Linked DNA regions of Nothobranchius furzeri. The main gene of each other region encodes a partner of the protein of the gene in region 2 in a complex. Links are inferred from orthologs where the notes say so. Each region holds a gene or a part of one and is shown on either strand. Other genes may lie near its edges.

Region 1 (4,377 bases), on a different chromosome or scaffold from region 2:
CAACACACTGGTGAATATACCATCCCCCAGGGAGGCTGTGGTTACCTAGCAACTGAAGAGTTTGCCTCCCTGCAGCATCTCCAGCCACCAAAGGGAATATGAAGCCATGTAAACAAGTATGTCTCTCTCCAACAGTCTATAGCCCCGAGCTGCAAGCTCACAAGCACTCAAAGGAGACTGAAGAAACACTCATATATTTGTTAATCATCACCATCTCTCTGAAGATTTAACCGTACTTGTGTCTAACCTGTGCTCTTTATTTGATCCTGCTTTTATGCCAGCTCAGTCTTCATCGTTTCTTCTACTACTCTCGCTTTCAGGATCACAGCTGGGAAATCTAAACTCATACAGCCACACCTTTACAGCAACAGGCTACAGAACGAGTCAGCACACTGAGATCTAGTGGACTGTGTGTGTGCGAGGGACTGTCTGCTGCCAGGGAGAAACCTGAAGATTATCTTCCTGCAACTCCACCAAACAACAATATTAGCACACATGCTAAAGTAAAGTTATCCGAGAAGCTGGTTTTACTGGGATACCAACCTCATCATGTCCTCGATCCCAGCCAGGCTGATGTGCAAACCAACTCCAAAAGGGGAGCCGTCGACTCTAACTTTGACCCTGGCTATGCTGTTTTTCCTTATAAGCAAACAAATGGGAAAGCATTCTAACTCCTTGTTCGTTGCCCTGATGAAGCTTCTCTTCAGACTTCTAATAGATTACCTTGGAGGCAGCGCAGTCAGCTACTTTTTGAAGATTTGAGAAACTTTGCGGCCTTTTTGTTACACTGCTCTGTCACAAGGCTGGAGGACATCGCTGGATTAACTTAGTGGTCGGATTCACCAATCAGAGACTTAACTCTGAGACGGTTGCCCAAATGCAGAAAGATAACTGTTCACTAGCAAAGCTGAAGTTGCTGTTTGGCCATTTTGGGCCATGAGTGCTAAAGTGTTCCTGCTTGATGCTGCAAGACGTCACAATGACTTCAAGCAATATGGAAGAGAGGTGTTCCATCGAACGCTGGGGAGATATCTGTCTATTGTTTTCACAGGTAGGATCATAATAGTGTTTATGCTAGTTAATATAATTAAGGATCATAATAGTGTTTATGCTAGTTAATATAATTAAGGATCATAATAGTGTTTATGCTAGTTAATATAATTAAGGATCATAATAGTGTTTGTGCTAGTTAATATAATTAATACACACATTTGTATGTAAAAGTGAAGATATCACTAATGCTTCAAATAGGAAAATTATGAAAATGCCAAAATTGCAGAAATTTCTATTAAATAATGAGCATTTTGTGACTAACAGAATTTAACAAAGCAACAATAATAATAAGCTATTATACTAGGAGGAAATGTATTTTCATTTTGGTTCAGAAGTCATTAAACATGTTTACAGATTTATTAAACACTTTTTCTGTGCTGGAAACAAGTCCTTAATGTTAAGTCACCTTGAAACAAAACCACAAACACACCAAAATACAACAGAAAAAATAACATATTTCAAAAATACTTCTTTAGTGTTTCATTTCCTTCAAAACACTCACAGTTTCCATTTCTGTAGAGCAAGAAAGGATCCTGCAGCTGGAACTCCAGGTCTTTATTTATGGGCTCAACAAGGTTCTGTGCACTCAGTCGATTCATAATGGTGAAGCCATGGTGAGGGGAGGCAGACCTTCATAAGGACCCAGGAAAAACATTACCTCCTTAATTGCACTTCACATTGCTTTGGGTACAATATTTACTCCACATTTGATTGTTTTTAATTGACCATTTAAAGCAATACTAAAGAGTTTTCGACACTTTAAGCTATTGCCTTCAAACTGGTTTCAGTGGTTCTTCAGCCATAAAGTTGAACATCTTCACATGGGACAGCACTCAGTAGCCCTCTGCTGACCAGAAACTACATTTAACAGTTTTATGGTTTGGGTCGGCACAAGTGTGGGAGGTCTCTACCTGCTAAAAAGCAGGAGCTGTTTACTGTGCTAGTAATTAATATAAAGGATAGCAGTTAACTTTACTATTGATTTAAGTAGCTCCCAGTCCAATTCAAAGTAACCTACAACAAATTCGTGTCCTGTTTATTTTTTTAACAGAAAGATTTGCCTTTGTGTATTTACTGGTACTTTTGTTATTTTTCTTCTTCTATTCTCTAAGTGTATGTGCTTCTGTAACGAGTGAATTTACCCACAAAATTAATAAAGTCTATTATATTTCCTTATAACTAAAGTTTGTAGGTGGTCGTTTTAGTTCTTCATGCTTTAACTGATTAAAAATAAAGTTTATTACAACGTTATAACATAATATTTCAGTTTCAATCTCTAAACACTGTAATTTACGTTCGATTTACTGAATCACAGAGTCCACTTTATCTTTGTTTACAAATTTCAAGGCCTCACGTGCGCAGACGGCGGAACAACCATCGTGGCTCTCAGGTATTCTTACCTTGCATAAACAAACAGGGTTCCCTCAACTTCGGTTTTCTCCTGGAACAAATAGAGATAACGACTCAAACCTAGAAACCGCAAATCCAAACTAGCTAAATAAATTTAGCGAGGGTGATAAGCTAACTGAAAGCTAATAAGGCGTTAAATTTTACAATTAGAAAGTACCTAAGATGCATTAATTGTGTTCGCGTTAAAACAACATACTAGACAACGCTATCTTAATTAACTAAACAAATAAAGACATTTACTTAAAAAACAAAACAAACAAACAAACAACCCCCCCCCCCAAAAAAAAAACAACAACAATATTTTCTGTTTTGAATCAAAGCTCAGAAGCTAAGTGTGAAGCTAGCTTTGTTGGCTCTCCACCAAATATTTCCCGAAACTTTTCCAGGGTAAATTCTCTTACTTACCCATTCGTTTGCTTTTGAATTGAAGTTGTAAAGAGCAACCTGACCGGTAACATCGAGCAGTTTGTTAATGTATGGATCGTGTCTCTGCAAAGCAGCTAAACTCATCAGATGTCCAGCATTAATCGCCATCTTTGCTTATGATTTTCTGCCGCACGGACGAATTTTTGCAAACACCTATAACTTCCGGTATTTACGGAAATCCCACCACTGAAAAGGTTCCCCAGAGGAGTTTTTTTAATTCCGCGGGGAATAATAATAATAATAATAATAATAATAATAATAATAATAATAATAATAATAATAATAAAAACAATGTAATTGCAAATTCTGAGAGAAAATGCAGAAAAAATATGTCTGAAACCAAACCCACAACAATGTGAACATAGTTTGAAAAGGTAGTTTGCCAACTGAAGTTGAAGCTTATTTCCTACACATAATGTCATCCTTTGAGATATTAGAAAAACAAGTTTCAAACTTTTTTGGACTTTTATGCAAGCCAGTTCAAATTAAGGGAATACATGTAATGTGTATACTCTAGGCATTTAACCCTCTCAGGCTCAAAATAAGTTTTGATAAAGGAACAAACAACTAAGTCTTTCAGGGATACATCTGAGTTAAAAAAATGCTCATGAAATACGTATGTGGAGTAACCAGTTAGGTAGGTTTTAACTGTTGCAAATCTGCAGCGCCTGCCTCCAGAGGGTTAAGAAAGTTTCATGTGATTGCAGGTTTCTTAAAATATAAAAATGATAATAAACTTTTAACCCACATATTTAATTTCCACCAAAATAATATTTAGCAATGTGCAACAAACTGTGAAGCAGAAAAACACGGAAATAGATACCTATTTTAACAACTTGTTCACACCTCATTCATTGGATGATCAAAATTTGGAGTTATTTATTATTAAAATTGAGTTCAGTAGCTATTTGCAATGCAAAAGCCTGCAATTATAATGTTAATTTCATGTAGCCTAATATGTTTCCTACCTCAAGTTTCATGGAAATATGTACACATCACAATGGTTTTTTTCATTTTAACTTGTGTTTTTACGCCTAAAATTTCTATTGTTGATCATTTTATTTACCCAAGTTGTTTGGTATATATTTTGTTAATCTTGAAAGAAAATGAAAGCAAAAACAGAACAATATTTCACAACGCCTGACATGGTTTTATGAATGCAGTTTATAATTTCAGATTTATTACTCAGACCTATTTGAGAAGAACTTGCATTATTTTCCTTGTTATGAAGTCAAAGTTAGATTTTCCTTTTATTCAAATCCTAAACTGCTAATAAGTGAATGAAAGTGTCTGAAAATTCTATTTAAAAAATCATGTTTATTATTTGACCCTAGCTTTGGTGCATGCAGCTATCTCTCATGCTTAGGGAACGGGGATTATAATCTAAGGATTACGCACTACCGTGAATCTGTTTTACCCTGAATGCAGGTAATCCAATCACTATCATTCCATCAGAGCTCCAAACCACCCATTCCCTCACGAATCGCC
Region 2 (3,187 bases):
CTCAAAACAAACATTTTACTAAAGTATTTCCTCATTTGTGATAAAAAAGATCTTTGTTTTTCTCACAAAACTACATATATATGGCTTTCACTACTTTTAAATGTTCATGTTAATAAATACAGATGATGTTTTAAAATCCAAAATAAAGAAAAGCTGAATATTTTGGGTTACAATTATTCTTGTATATATATATATAAGAGTAAATTACCTTTTGTACTAATAAATAGTGCACAGTTAAGTTTTTCCTATGTGTTGATGCCCTGGAAGCTTTGAAGTCCATATCTGAATAAAAGGATCACATTTCTGACGCAAAATTCATAGTAACACTGTAGATTGATGCAGTTTTTTTAAAATAAACAGTCAGCGGAGACATTTGAGACTGTTCACCGTGGTGAGCTCACTTGTTTGACATGCCTACAAAAATGTCTTGAACACAAGGCAACAATCATCTAAACGGTTTAAAAAAGATCCCAGGCCTTTATGGATAAATAAAAACTGACAGTGACAAAGTCATGAGTTCTGTTTTAGAAAGAAGTGCATGCAAGAGAAGGCTTGATGGCTTTGTACTCCTTTCATTTTTCCAACTGAACACACAAATAAAGCAGTCTGGGTGTTTTTTTGTTGTTGTCTTGTTTCTTCTTGTCCAACACTGGCCCGTTTGCTGGGTGGAGTTTACGGAGCGAGTCACCATGTGGCAGGAGATTTGGAAACATGGTGGTGGAGCCCAGCTACATACAAGGAAGCTTGTTTTTGTTTGTCTCATTTAGTGACGCTGGATCAGGAAGACGGATCTCATCATCATAATGAAGAAAGAAACTCCAAGGTTTGAGAGTCTGATTCTGCTGCGTGAGACTGAAATGTGAAGACACGACAAAGATGCACAAATAAACACACAAACGCTTGTCCCAGTGCAGGTCAGCCCACACGTAGCACCATGAAACCAGGACGCGTTCAGTGGCCGCTGTCCTCCCAAGAGCTGTCGTTCTTCTGCTTGGACAGTTTTCGGACTAGCCTCTCCAGCTCTTTGCGAGACTTCTGCTCCTCCTCCAGGAACTGCTTCATCCATTTGTTCTCCTGCAGAGTGTATGAAAAAGAGCTGTATTTAATGAATAATGTAAGTAAGACATTTTTATTTACATAGCACTCATCACTGAAAGAAAATCCCAAAGTGATTCACATAGATTTAAAAAAATCACAAGGTCATAACATCATAATGATCTTAAATAAATTAAAATCAGGAAAACAAATTCATGACGTTACTAAATGATCGTAAATATAAATCAAGTGAAAGATGATTATTAATTCAAGTAAAAAAAGAACAAAAACACAGTAGATTTAGGTAAAAGCAGGTCTAAATAAAAGGGTCTACAGCTGCTTTTTAAAGGTGTCCAGGCTGTCAATACGATGTAAGATTCCTCTTAAGCCCAGAGACCCTGGTGCTACAGAAGAAAATACTCTTTCCAGGCTAAAAAAAAAAATAAAAAATAAACTACTCGGGTCACGTTCTAGGGTTACAGACACCAGCCAGACCACCTTATATTTTTAATGTCACGGTTGAAAGTTCTGACGCAGTTTACAAGGGACATTATTCAAAACTCGCCTTTGGCTGCCATGTGGGTCTCTGCTGCCTCTATAAACACTCTAAATGTAATAAAAACCCATCCATCTTGTAAATGGCTGCAAGTAGGTGGATTGTCAACGTCACTCACTCAATTGTATATAAATGGGCGTTAACCCGGATGTGGACGTGGCGTTGGCATTCCACCTGGCTTGACGTGTTGCAGCAGACCAAACCTCCACGTTAGTGAGGGCATTCTGATTAAAATTGATTAAATAAGAACGTGTCGCCCTACCAAATGCTTTGTACATTTAGTCTATGGTCTTGCCGTGCCAAGCCTCTGCGTGACATTACTTTGATTGCACCCCATGGCAAGAGGAGCAAGGTATTTGTTCTTTGTTTCTGTTTGTTGCTCCTGATGTTTGTCAGCAACTGTCTTTAATTTGTAAATTATGTATTTTCAGTTTTCACTGTGTTTGCACAGTGTTTGGCATCAGGTGCTCGGTGCGATTCTGGGAATGAGACGTATGCATCTACAGCCTGACGCAAATAAAAAGTCGCACCCGTCTAAGCTCTCCTCCTTATATCTCTTGGATGCTAAGGGGCAGTAACAGACAGAAACAAAGAACAAATATCTCTTTTTTTGACCGTGTTTATTTAGGAAATTATGTGCCTGAAATGACTCATTTGAAAAAGTCCTAGTTTGTGATGTCACAAATGGGGAAAAACAAACCACCTCTCACATGCAAAAGAGAGCTGCTACTGGAGGAGCAGCGGTTCTCCTCCAAGCTCCCCCTAGATATCAAAGCCTCTCTGCACATTTTCCAAAATGTATTTAACCGATTATTGAAGCCATTAAGTGGTTAATTCTTTGTTAACCGTAAACTCCCTCTCCAGCCCCCCTCCTGCGCACGCACACAGAGAAAAAAATATAAAATATAAATAAAACTAACGCTTTTCCTCCTACTCTTTTAACATCACTCAGACACAGAACCAAAGTCCCACGCCTGTTAAAACATTCATAAACTAAAAACAACGTTAGTGGGATGAGAGCTGAAATGTCCACCAGGACATGTTGTGTAATGGGCCGTCCGGCATTACAGCACTGCTTATAGAGCATTGTGGAGGCTACACATTTAAAAAAACACTTGAGTTTCCTTACATTGAACTAATTACACCAAAGTTTCCAAACTACAGGAGGCAGACACCAAGCTGTCACAAACGCAGGAGCCTTGTTTCATTTTGCTGCACAGCTTTATTTCCATGTTTTTCCAGGCTCAACGCTTTGATGTCGGCCTCATTTTGTTAACTACCACATAAAGAATGCTCCCACGCTGTGCACTTTCCTAAACGCTTAATTTTTGAGTAAATTTATTTGATCATGTGACAAGCTCTTCTTCTGTGGTTTTGACAGTGGCATTCTTGTGCCTTCTGGTGGCAAAAATATATATTACACCCATGCACAGCAGAAGGACGTGAGTTCAGCTGGCAGTTAACGGGACTTAACCGGCCAACTGTGTACACCCCTACTCTCAGCTTACAGCAGAAAGGCAGGGGCTGGGTGGGCGTGGCCAGCGGCAGCTCATTTTCTGGCAAAGCCCTGAAACGACTCATTCCAGAAGTGACTGA

What was found.
Region 1: arhgef6 (region 2) and dcp1a share a complex: the UniProt entries of both Homo sapiens proteins name them as parts of the cytoplasmic complex. The link is inferred for Nothobranchius furzeri from reciprocal best matches to the Homo sapiens genes ARHGEF6 and DCP1A.

Annotation. Positions count from the first base shown.
Region 1 is NC_091755.1:32,995,722-33,000,098, forward strand, and holds the start of dcp1a (mRNA-decapping enzyme 1A), read right to left. Parts: upstream 3,037-4,377; 5' UTR 2,998-3,036; coding exon 2,869-2,997; intron 2,495-2,868; coding exon 2,454-2,494; intron 1,684-2,453; coding exon 1,556-1,683; intron 1-1,555. UniProt on the Homo sapiens protein: Necessary for the degradation of mRNAs, both in normal mRNA turnover and in nonsense-mediated mRNA decay. Removes the 7-methyl guanine cap structure from mRNA molecules, yielding a 5'-phosphorylated mRNA fragment and 7m-GDP.
Region 2 is NC_091741.1:83,114,331-83,117,517, forward strand, and holds the end of arhgef6 (rho guanine nucleotide exchange factor 6), read right to left. Parts: intron 1,075-3,187; coding exon 952-1,074; 3' UTR 637-951; downstream 1-636. UniProt on the Homo sapiens protein: Acts as a RAC1 guanine nucleotide exchange factor (GEF).